2 linked regions of the Caenorhabditis elegans genome follow. The protein of the gene in region 1 purifies or fractionates together with the protein of each later gene. This does not show direct contact. Each region holds a gene or a part of one and is shown in the gene's direction. Other genes may lie near its edges.

Region 1 (4,916 bases):
GCAACAGGAAACAATGCTTAGAGGAGCAAGGAATTTGAAGAATGACCAATTGATGCCTTCTCAAAGAATATAAGCTGTTTAGGTTTAAACACCCAAAGTATTCAAAGAGAGTGTCATGCAAATTTGTAAAGGTGAAAGCATTTCAAACGTCATGATGTTACCAAACAAGGAGGTGGTTGTTCGTGATGCACAAAAATTGTTTTGACTTGTTGAGTGGGAGGAGAAGGAAATGGGTTGACGTATTGAGTCAGTTGAGTGTCATGAAGCATTTTTAAAATGCTAGAAAGGGAGTGGCTAAAATCAAACAATCGGATGGGTCAAATGATGCGTGACTTTTTGATTAACAGGCTGGAAATTCTACCGAGTTAAGCACTTTTTCATGATAAGTCTGAAATCATTCACATTTCAAAGTCGCACTTCTTAAAGTTCCTAAAAATACTAGATATATTTTTAGATGGCAACTTTTTTTCTGAAATATTCAGAATAAAAAATATTCAATGCGGCATCAAAAATAGTTTTAAAGGAAGATTACTTAGTATCAATTTATGAGTGATTTAATACTATAAAACAAACAGAAACTCTTATTTACCACTTACAAAAGGGAAGAGATTATGAACTGATATTGATAAAACAAGAGTTGCCTCGATTTGGAAAAAAACAACTTTTTTTCAGTTTCTTAACAAAACAATACGAAAAAGAAATTCAGATGAAGTTTTTGTTCATAAGATTTTTTTTTAAGACAGCGTTATATCGAATCAATATTTTTGGTTTTCTAAAAAAAATAATTTTAATTGGATCGAAAGTTAAATTATTGTTTTGTATTTTTATTGTTCTGCACAACGCAACAAAAAGAGAAACAACATTTAATGGAAAATAAAATGCATCAAAAAGTAATGCTCTCAATTATGGCTCATTTTGAAGGCGTTCGTCAACTCAACCGGAGCAAGGATGAAATGGGCTATTGAAAGAACATTAAAGTACGCACGAAAACAAAACGTTAATTCGAAAATAGGTATTTATGAAAATGATTTTTTTCAATTCTATACGGATGAAAACAATAATTTAAATGTGTCCTGAGGTTATTGTTTTCAAATTTCCTTAAAATTAATTTTGGAATTATTTTTAGAGTTTAGGAAATCACATGTAAAATGGAAAGGCCTCAATTCTGAACTTTTGAACTTTTTTGCGCGGGGTAAAAAATTAGCGCGGATTTACCCAACGAAAAATTTCAAGGATTTTCCAAATTATAAGCTTACAAACCGTTACACAAACAACATTACGATTCAAAATAATTATTCCAGTATAAATTGAATATAAACCTAGCTCAAAATTCGCCAAATTATTACTGATTTGATAATAATATTAGCCAGTAAGATTGAAACCAGAAACAAATATGAAAGAAGATTTCAAACTCGATTACATGAAGCAAGCCTAGAGAGAAAATATCGCAATTTTTCTGAAAACTTAATGTGATACATGTAGTGCCAACTTGGCAGATGTCCTATATGTCTTCGAACGTGAACTTTAAATTTTAAATTCGTCTTCATTTCAGCCACCCACTAGTTTGATATCCGATATCCTACGTCCAGAATTGTGCCGCCCACTTCATAATTTTCGGATAAATATCAGTTTCAAATGGTTACCACATTAGCAAAGTACCTACCACCTATGATCTTCGTTCAAAATTTCAGCTCGTGACTCACTCCCTCTTCTTTTTCATTGCTATAAAATGTGTTTGCAAATGTTATTTGCTCTACGAAACACAAAATATGCAAGTATTGTCGTCGCCCATCATCAAAGTCATAAACGGGACAGTGTCATTAGTTTCGATTCTCTTCGCTTTTTTCTCCCGCATTTTTTATCACTGATAACAAGACCTCGTCCACCTGCTCCCTCTCCTCCCTTTTTTCTTTGCATTTTCAGAAGAAGGACATATCAGTGTTGGCATTGTTGGTTGATTCACAGAGAAGTTATTATGTTCATCACTGCATTAATTGCAAAGGAACTTGGATTGTCTCGAGTTAAAGAACTTAATCCTACTGTCACTATCAATGGTGTCACAACCGTGGAGTTAGAGGTAACTTTATAAATTAGTTCATAGTTGAAAACTCATATATTAAACCAATAGGAACTATTTGAGGGCATTGCAAAAATCTCAAAAACTTTTAACTCAAAATTTAAATGTACTACAGATATCAAGTACTATAAAATTATTGTAACTCCTATTACTGTTAGTTTTTTTAATGGCTCAAATTTTAAAAGGATTTTGCAAATTTTTTAAATATTGCAAATATGATGCCAAAATCGTATACGTTACATTGTCGACTCTCTTAATCTGACTATTATTTTCAACGATTAGAAAAAACCGTCAACGCTAGATTAAGATATTTTTAGACAATTTTTAATGTTTAATTTCAAAAATTTTCGAAAATGTTGCTTGTGAAATTATCTTTGAACTTCACTTTTAAAGGTGCTAGTACGAATTACTTTCCAATGTTTTGTCTTCGTACAAAGCTTTCATGTTTTTTAATTCCATATTACCTCTTTAAAATTAATACTTCATGTTTGTGTTTTTGGATGGAGTGTATTATATTGGGAGTTAAATGAGCACAAAGATTATTCCGGTTATAAGGAAATTTCGTTCAAGTCGTTTCATTTTCTAATGACGTTTTTTGTGGAAATTTTTAACTGCCTGTTTTACTGATAAGAAAACGGAAATATTGTTAAATAAACAAGTTTTTCAAAATTGAACTCAATACGGTTGAAACAAAAAAAAATAATTAAAATATTGGAAGTATAGTATTAGGATTAGATTTAAACTTTCTACGAAATTGTTCCAAATTCGAAAGAAATGTGCCAAAATGTGATACTGAATGACCTTTGAATGAGGCCAATTTCTTTCTCCCGCCCTTCTAGAATATCATCGTTTTCTGGTTTTAGACAGCGGAGGGCCTCTTCCGAGTGCATTTGGTGAGAGATGATCAAGATGTTATAGTGAAACTAGAGGAAGGAAGCAAGCTTGCCGCCTACTACAATTCACTTTTCTGGCATGAGATATCAACGTTTGAGAAGATTCCTATTCCAAGTGCACATTTTAATCGATCGTTTGTTGTGACGGAAGATGAAAACAAACATTCTGTCTATGTTACTCAATTTTTGAAGAAAGGAAGTGTTCGTACCAAATTGGGATTACCAGAATTGGAACAAGTTGCCTCACAGATTGCAAAGTTACACGCTGTCAACTCAAAAACTATCAATAAACAATTCTCACTCAATGTGCAAGAAAATTATGGAAACATCATATCATTCAAAAAGAAAATTCAAAAAGAATTGATTGAAGTGTTGGAAACAGCAGTAACTACTACAGAAGTTGCAGACTACTTCATGAATCCATCCTCAGTTATTGAAAAAGTTGGAATTTTGACTCATTACTTGGAAGATTGGAAAGATGAAGATGCAGATGAAAAGGAAAAACATAATGTTATCGCACATGGAAGATTGACAGCTGAGATTTGCAGATTTGATGAGGATGGGAATTTGGTAGAGATCACAGAATGGGAAGTACGTAATTATTTTTAAAATAGAAAAAACTGCGTTCTACTATAATTTTTACTTTTGATCTTTCAACAACGAAAACCTAATTAATTTAGAACATTCATCTTGGAAATCCAGTGGAGGATTTAGCAAATTTGATTGTTTCATCTGCAGATGTCGACATTCGACGAAAAAAGTTCATGAAAGTGGGTTCGAGAGTCTTATGGGAACGGCAGAGCACCAGATGTTTTTGATGTAATTTGTTTTAATTTTAGATATTTCAAGTCTATTTTTATGCACTTGTTGACTATTACCCACCAAAGTATCAACTGCATGATTTGAAAAGATGGTTCCAGGAATATCAACCTACAGTTCTAATCAATGGGTGAGTTTAGGTTTCAAATTTTCAAATGTTTTAAAAGACCAAAAAGTTGTCGTACTTTTGATATTTTTTATAAAATAGTGTTTTACCGGATTTTCAAGAAAATAATTTTTCAAGGCATTTTAGGTTGCCCCAAATTTTCAGAACACTAGTCCCATTAAATAAAATTTCTAATCATTTCCAGAATCGAGTCTCTACTTTTTACACTGAGTGAAGGTTCGGATGACGTCAAACAAGATGCTGCACGTCGATGGGAGACAGCGTTGAATGATACTGTAGATTTCTTGACTGGAAACTACATTTCGGATAATGAGCACCCATTTCTCTCACAAAAAGAGAATGATGATTGAAGAATAAGATAACGTATTTGCTTTTTTTTTCAAAGAATCGAGAATAAATGACCGAATTCAAAAATAAAGATTGGTCGTTTTTTCTTGGTGACGAATGAATAAATCTTCAATACAAGAACGGAAAGATGCATCTCTTGACAACGTAGATATACGGACGACAAAATAATAAATGTATGACGTGTGAGAAAACACTTGAAGCTTGCTTAAAAAAGGGATTGGGTGTCTTCGAGAAAATCAGAACATTTCTTTCAAATTAAATTATGTAAGAAGATGTTCATATTACAATATATAAATAGCAATATACTATTTATAAATTATATTGTAAATAGATATTAATTACTTAATTTATTTATTTACGCTCGCGAAGAGACGTGGAAAAAGTTGAAGAAAAAAGAAAAATGTACACATAATAGATCATAAATACAATACACTGAATAAGAGGGATAGAAACAAGAAGAATAAATAGGAACGAAAGTTTGTTAACAGGACAGTTAGGTCAGGCGGGAGGAGATAATGTTATGTGGGTAGTTCATGAATCATCAGTTGTCAGACATCTCGTTATTCAAGATCTGATATATGTTTTAGAAACTTGGGGCTACTCAGCGTACGGTTTACAATAAAATGCTTATTGTAAATAATATTGTAAATAA
Region 2 (7,660 bases), on another chromosome or scaffold:
TTATATGCTAGCAGAGTTGAGCAATGGAGGTACAATCCTAATAGAGAATAGTATGTGACATTAGAAATTTTTTCAGGTCAGAATACGAAACACGAGCGCGAATCTTCAAGGAGCACCTGGAAGAATTACGTGGCGATATTGACGGCCTGAAACGAGACGGTAATGTACAAAATGGGCAGCATCGAGAGCATGATGCGGTTCATGCACAAAATGTGGCACACGGTTTTGATAAGTTCACGACGATGAGAATGGTAAGTAGATAATTTAGCAAGTTCTGTTAGCATGCTACCGTTCTGAACGGTTACTAAGCTGATCTCATGATCAGAAGGTCAAAAGTTCAAAAAGTTATTAAATCTCTTTTTCATCCTATTCTATTATATGTTAAGCTTCTAATTTATTAAAATTTCGCGCGTTTGGCATTTGTAAGTTTGACGCTTAACTTCGGAATATCTCCAGAAAAAATCAAAAAGCGCAAGCTCAATTGGCTCATCGGGTTCCTCCGATTCCTTGGAGCTCAATACTGTCGCTAGACATGTGGCGGGACGAGGGATTCCACGTGTCTCTACAGTATCCACTACGAGCTCGTCAAGTATTCTGAGCCACGTCATGATGCTGCATAGACAGCAGTCTTATGATTTGGGAAACACTGAATGGCAGGAAGCTGACATTTGAATATAGTGAGAAAATAGTGCCAGAGTTTGATTGTTGTGTGGTAGAGCGTGTTTGCATATTGACTAATTTTCCAATTATTGTTTTCTAACACTTGTTGATTGGTATTTTTGTTAGAGTTGAAAATAAACATTCATGGTTCAAGCGCTCTATGAATAAATTCAATAATATGCACACTGTAATTGTTTTTTTTTGACTTAAAATTTAAAAATCAGGAATCGCAACAATGAACGCAGCGCGAAAAATATTTCTTAGAGCGCAATCGTTACGTCGGGTACTGACACGAGATTATTTTTTCCGCTACAGTATCCAATAGTAGACGTTCCATCGTTTATTTGGAAATTCTTTTTCTTGAGTTTTTATGTTTTTGTAGTAAACCTATTCAGGGAAAATAAGATTTTCACAACAAAAACTCGAAAAATTTTTAAAAATAGAAAGAAACAAGAAAAAGCAAAACCCAGGGTACGGTATCTGAAAAGTTTCGCTCGCGCTAAGACTTTATTAATTTTATTAATTGATTCAAAAAATCACACATTTTTTAGTGAAACTATATCTTTGAATTTCACAAACCTGTCCGTCGGTGTATTTTGTTGTGATTTTTCAAATTTTGAAATGAACATTAGTGTGGTATTGATTGATTATTCTTCTCATTTTCCAATTATAATTTTCTTATAATTTCAGAGTATGCGAGGAACTCCACGACAACGAGCACAAGCTTTTGATGGAATGTGATAAGAAACTTTATGGCCATTTATGAACCGATTTTCCTTTTTTTTCTTCAGTTTTTCCCCATCCCGATAAGAGATAACCCCATTTTGTGCTCATTCAGTTTATTGATTTTTCCACACCCTTTTGCCATTTTTCAATCAATAATCTTTCGTGGCAAGACAAAAACGCGTATTTTTCTTCTTTTTTCCGAAAGGCATATTGTGTAAATATACATATCGAATGATTGATGAATACAGATTTTTTTTAAATGTTTTTTTATTAACTTAAAATAATGAAAAAATCTGTAATTTATTAATTCATTTCCAGCAAAAATGGGCGAAAAATTCAAGGTTTTCGTGTATGGAACCCTGAAAACAGGAGAGCCAAACTACAAGGTTCTGTCAGAAACTGACGGAGAATATCGGTAAGTTCGGGAGTACTGAAGAATTTTGAGTGTCAAATGTGATGCATTACTTCTTTCAGATTCATCTCATCTGGAACTACAGTGGAAAAGTTCCCATTGGTAGTTGGAACCAAATATAACATTCCATTTTTGCTTGATGATGCTGGGAATGGAAATGTGAGTTTTACAACCTGAAGTTTATTTAAACCGACGTACTTTGAAGCATATTGACAAGTAATTAAAAAAAAAGAACGAGAACGGAATCAGCTTTGGCAGGGAAACAAAGATGAATAAGGAAATTTTAAAGAAAGAAACAGAAAAATGATTATGCGCACGGTTTAAAGGGAGTATAAATGCCAAAAACTTGTTTAGATCCGAAATTTTTTTGGTATTCAAAATCTTTGAAATTTTTTTCTTTCCTTGAATCCGGGGACTGTGACAGGGGGAAACTAAAAATTGTAGGGGATGGGGATACTAACTAATATGAAAAAAAAAACAAACAATAATGTACATTATACCAGAAAAAAGGATATACATTGAGGATTGAAGAAAGGGGAATTCAAGAATCATTCTCCACACATTTCCGCTTTTTCATAGTATTTATTTGCGAGCTTTCCATTCATTGCTTCCATTGCTGCTTCAGCAGCTTCATTGAATAGACCATATGCTCGTTCGAAGTCTTGATTCAGGCCATAACCTCCCTCTTTGTACATTTCAGCCATTTTGGCTAGAATCTCGTGACGAGTCAGTGGAGCAAATGAGGAGAATGTCGTTTTTCCACAATCAGAGTCAAGTTCTTCTTCTTCTTGGAATCCAACGACGCGTTGATACCTACAAAATTTAGAATATTTCTCAAGTTTATAGAAAAAATGTTAAGGAACAAAATCATCCAAGAAGTCCAGAATAAAAATCGCAAATAGGTCATATATGATTTTCTTTTTGAAAAATACAACAAGTAGATTTAGTTTTTTCTGAACATATTTTTTGAAGGTTCCTAGTTTTTCTGGTTTTTCACAATTTTTCTTATAAAAAATGAATCAGAGACGGGTACTTCTATTCGAATTTTAAAAAATTTTCGATTAAAAAATTTCAATTTCAATTTCCAAATTTCCTAAATGTTCAAAAATTCAAATTTCAAAAAATCGAAAATCTTCGTTTTTTGATTTTTTTTTTCGTAAATTGAAATTTTTATTTAGAAGAAAAAAAATTTCCATCGAAACAAACAAAGTTTGATGAAATTTCAAATCTGTTAATTACATTCTAAATCTTTTTTTTCGATTTTCAATTTTCCGGCTATTCGAAAAAATTTTCAATTAAAAAAAATTAGAAGCTATAGCATCAAACATTTTAGCTTTTTTAGGTTTCTTAAAAGTATTCTCTATAAAGTCGGGTTACTGTATCTTCACTAGAATCTCATAAATTTCTTACCAATCAATCGATTTCTTATAATCCGTTCTTCGATTCGGTCCGAGATGCTGACCAGTTTCATAAGCGTGTGCCATGTACAGCATTGCACCCTTATCACCCATCTCTGCAGCAATTTCCATCAGATCGGAGCCGAACTCTTCTAGGTCTGAAAATTTTTGAATTTTGATAAAATACGGGATGCTGAGAACACTAGGATTGAATCTTTCAAAAAAGGAAACAACACGAAAGGTTAAATTGGGAAATCACAAAATAATTTTTAAAAAGCACACACGAGAAAACTTGATTCTTACCACAAGGTTTTTGTCCTTTATCAGCTGAAAAGTTGGAATTTCAGATTTAAAAGAGAAAAATTAACAAAAAAAGCTCACCTCGAATTCCATTTTCCTGTTCTCCAAACCCATTAGGAAACAGATCATCAACGGTGACTTCTTTCAACAATTCATGTGGTAATCCGAGAACAATATGAGCCGATGTTAGCACAGCCTCAAGGATTCCACACTTCCGAGCGATATCCAAATGGAAAATTGCAGACTGCTTGTCGTATTTGATTGGTACACGAGCGTCATTTTCACTTCCCTCAAGCATTTCCTTATGTTCTGAATCAACTTCTACGAACCGCCCGAGCTCATGATATCGTGAGAGATCAATATGAATCTGACCGAGGACAGAGAACTGATGCCCGGTGACTTGTGGTACGTCTTCATCATTTTCCAGGTTAGCAGCCATTTGTTGAAGTTGAAGTGATAGAATGTTTGCTGGAACTGATTGTTTTCGAAGAACCTTCCAGAATTCATCCTTTTCAGTGTCTCTGGTTTGTCTAGAACTATTCATAGAATATGTCCCAACAGAACTTCTGAAGCTATCATGTCTCTGACGAAGTGAGTTTAAATCTACAAATCCGCATTTTCTAGGACGAGATGCTGATTCATCGCCAGAAGATCTCGTTGAAATGCTCATTCTACTACGTCGACTTTTCTGACTATTTCCACTTTTTTCACTTCTTGGATAGTCTTCTTCTTCGTCCTCTTCATCTTCGGAGCAAGGCTCACAGAGTTGCTCAACAACTGGAATACACTCAGGACATACACAGTCTTCGTTGTGACTCTGAAAAATATAAAAATAGAATACGTTAGAACTTTTTTAAATGTTTCTTTCACCTTTGCTGACAAATCGGTTGACGATTGATTCAACGTCTTCCTTTTTCTCAATTGATCCATCGAAATACCATGCTCGACATGTACACATTCACTTGAAATTCGATTTCTTCTTGCTTCGAACACAGTTGGAGGAACTATGCATGACTTTTTCTGCTTTGCAGCTACTTCCATCGCAACTTCGGTAGCCTCGATTTCAGGTGGCGAAAGTTCGAAATTTGATAGATCCATTGTCTCACAAATATCGTTACATCTGTGTGAATGGAAGAAAAGAGCCATTCCACGAGTTCCGAGGTTTCCATCTCCATAATCAGTTCCCACAACTGTATGAATCTGAGGATCTGTGTAAAGATCACCAACTCCTTGAATATCGACAACCATCATTTGATGACCAGAACGTTCGAAGGTGAAGTGAGAAAATGCTTGTGGTGTAAGACGAGCTGCATTTGATACAAATCCTGAGTTTGAATTGTATTTTATATATTTTCCCTCGATGAAATGCTCCAAATGATAGAGTGGAGAACCTTTTACATCAATCATCTCAATGACACACATTTGAACAATATCAATTTTCTTCGGTGGATTATACCGATTATATTCTTCAGCCCATAATTTGGCATCCATCTGAAGTCTGACATCATCGAAAAGAACTCTACGATCGACTTGACAAATGTATCTTTTTGCGACATAGTTGCTGCTCCAATCTTGACTTGTTCCGTGCTTGGAGCACTTTTTGAGTCGGTAGCATTCTCGCATGGCTCCACGTGCAAAACTGTCCGGATGAAGTCTCACATCGACTATATCCTCTGTCCATTGCTTTCTGATTGCAGAATACCTATATCGTTTAGCTCGTTGTACTGGATACTCGTGGATGTTGAACTCATCCCATGGATCTATATAGTTTGTTCTTGCTCGGCGAGCAGCCTTGCGCCATGTCTCCATAAGTTTTCTAACGTGGAGAGGATCCATACGAGGCTTCTCGATAACGACATCATTCTGTTCAATGAACACTTCATCTGCGTAGTCGTCGGTTATCCGAACCATTTTTGACGCATTGAGCGAGAATGTCCGAGCCGAGGCCTTGAAAGTAAAAATTGTAGTTTGTTTAATTGAATTTTAATTAAATAAATTTAATTTTGTTAAAGAATTGTTTTCAAAAATCCCACCTCCAATCCTGGTGAGTTAGTTGGACTATTGTCGCTCTCATTTGTTGTGTCGATCGTCATTTTGCCCAGTTTGACTACTGAAACAACTATTTTGTAAATAATTAATCCAAATTTTTTCAGAACATTGAAGGAGAAATGTATGAAGTTTGCGAGAAGAAATTGAAGGTGCTCGATGAGTTGGAAGCCTACCCAACATTGTACGATAGAAAGAAAGTTGAGGTAAGTCAGATAAAAAAGGTTCTGTTTGATTTCCTACTGTAGATGTTTTTATTCTTAAAAAACGATATTACCTAGTTGCGAAAAAGATTTAAAGTGTAAAATCTATGAAATTGGGAAAAACTGGACGTGGAGAACTACCGTACTTTTTAAAGGCGCACTCTCTTGTTTGCGCTGAAATTTTTTGGTCGCGTTGAGACCAGGTATCGTATCAGAACTCAAGGCAAGTCAAAGGTCTTGTTTTCTATGTCAGGCCCAGACACTACTCATCTAATCACACCCAACAAAAAACGAGCATGAATTAAAGCGACAACGGGGGGAGAACGTGTCGAATGAAAGAATACTTGAAAGCAGATGATAGAGAAAAGAGAAGCAAACAAACATATAAACAGTTTGATTTCTGTTCCATCGAGATGCGTCACGTGCTGGTCAGCTGAGAGCTTTTTATGGAAATTTTTGGATGTAATAACAATATGTTTATTATGCATTCGTAAAAAATGGATCCAAAAGTAAATTTGATCTCAGTGAAAAGAAATCGATTTTTAAAAATAACATTCTGAAACGACCATTAGAAGTAATAATTGAAAATTATTAAAGGTTTTCCAATTATTTTCTGAATATTTGTTTCTGATAATTGATAATTGAGATTTATGAAATTCGTATTCACTTTTAGAACAATTTTAAGATTCAAACTGCAGAAGTTTTCTATTTCGAGCATTTTTAGGTTTTTAGTCTATAATCCAGTGATTTGTGTGTAGAGAAGAGTTGGGTAAATAGAGAATTACGAGGATCGAGAACCAGATTCGGAAGATATTATCTTTTTCAATGGAAAACATACGATTTTGGATTAAAGTCCGTAAATTGTGTTTTATAAATCATTTTTATAAATGAGATTATGCATTTTGAAAAGAAACAAAAACTATTTCATATTTTGTAAGTATTGTAGGCATTTAGAGGTATCTTCAAAAGTTCTATAAAATTATTTTTTAAAAAATCTAAAATCCTCCCCGATATCGGGCCCGATAGGAATAAATAGAGAAAGAAAAAAGCTCATAAATTATAATGGGTAATATTTTTTGAAGGAACATTCGAGAAACGTCGAGGAAAATTTTCAAGATCAAAGATTAAAAAATCAAAAGAACAAAAAATCGAAAATTACTTTCAATTTTAAGTTTTTCAGTTTTGCACGTTTTTGTACTTACAGTTAGACATTAAAGATAAAAATGATTTTTTGTGATTTGATAAAAAGGGCAGATGGTGAATAATATATCAATGAGAAACCAATCCTATTATTTTTAATGAACATAATAAATCATCTGGTTGAGTAGATTCTTGGAATATAAAAATGAAATATTCTGATTTCCTTGAAACTTCAATCTGACCGAGCCGAATGTAATAGGTCAAATGTGACCAATATCTCTCAGACATTTATCACTAGCACTTTAAAATAGAAACAGGAATCAGTAGACTCTCTGAAGTTGAAAAAAGACCGACGGAAAAACTGGGAGAAAACTACGTGAAGAAATGGAAAATCGAGAAAGGCCTAGAGGCACCCAGAAGAATGGAGAAAGGAGAAGAAGGAGAGACAATGATGAAGAATGAGAGATTTAGAGAAACAGACAGAGTGTAAACCGAAAAGAGATGGGTGTGCACATTTGACTTGGATGGATGAATGGTTGGGACCACTTGGTGTTTTTTTTGGCTGAAAAATATAGAGGAAGTTAAAATAAAGTGTATATGAAGGAACCTATAATTATTGATTTAGGATATTTATGGAATAGATAATATGAATGAGCTCATTCAGACAGCGCGGGTTACTGTAGAAAGTAGACACGAAATTTTCAAAAAAAAATGTAAACGTCTTCGACCGTTTGTTTTATTTTTCATTGTTGAATCATAACAATACCAACTTACAA

Evidence for each region. The genes of interacting proteins can lie anywhere in the genome.
Region 2: the proteins of C50F4.1 (region 1) and F42A10.9 fractionate together in Caenorhabditis elegans (co-fractionation; one large-scale study listed by BioGRID). This does not show direct contact.

What each region holds. Positions count from the first base shown.
Region 1 is NC_003283.11:9,524,870-9,529,785, forward strand, and holds C50F4.1 (CHK kinase-like domain-containing protein), read left to right. Parts: upstream 1-1,923; 5' UTR 1,924-1,975; coding exon 1,976-2,077; intron 2,078-2,940; coding exon 2,941-3,561; intron 3,562-3,650; coding exon 3,651-3,740; intron 3,741-3,809; coding exon 3,810-3,919; intron 3,920-4,100; coding exon 4,101-4,266; 3' UTR 4,267-4,381; downstream 4,382-4,916.
Region 2 is NC_003281.10:6,162,943-6,170,602, forward strand, and holds the start of F42A10.9 (Gamma-glutamylcyclotransferase family protein), read left to right. Parts: upstream 1-1,630; 5' UTR 1,631-1,709; coding exon 1,710-1,801; intron 1,802-1,860; coding exon 1,861-1,957; intron 1,958-1,963; exon of another isoform or gene 1,964-2,346; coding exon of another isoform or gene 2,347-2,611; intron 2,612-3,208; coding exon of another isoform or gene 3,209-3,353; intron 3,354-3,498; coding exon of another isoform or gene 3,499-3,522; intron 3,523-3,576; coding exon of another isoform or gene 3,577-4,312; intron 4,313-4,365; coding exon of another isoform or gene 4,366-5,442; intron 5,443-5,528; coding exon of another isoform or gene 5,529-5,588; exon of another isoform or gene 5,589-5,605; intron 5,606-5,648; coding exon 5,649-5,747; intron 5,748-7,660. Other genes in the region: nfm-1 (FERM domain-containing protein), read left to right, coding at 77-251, 457-672; efk-1 (Eukaryotic elongation factor 2 kinase), read right to left, coding at 2,347-2,611, 3,209-3,353, 3,499-3,522, 3,577-4,312, 4,366-5,442, 5,529-5,588.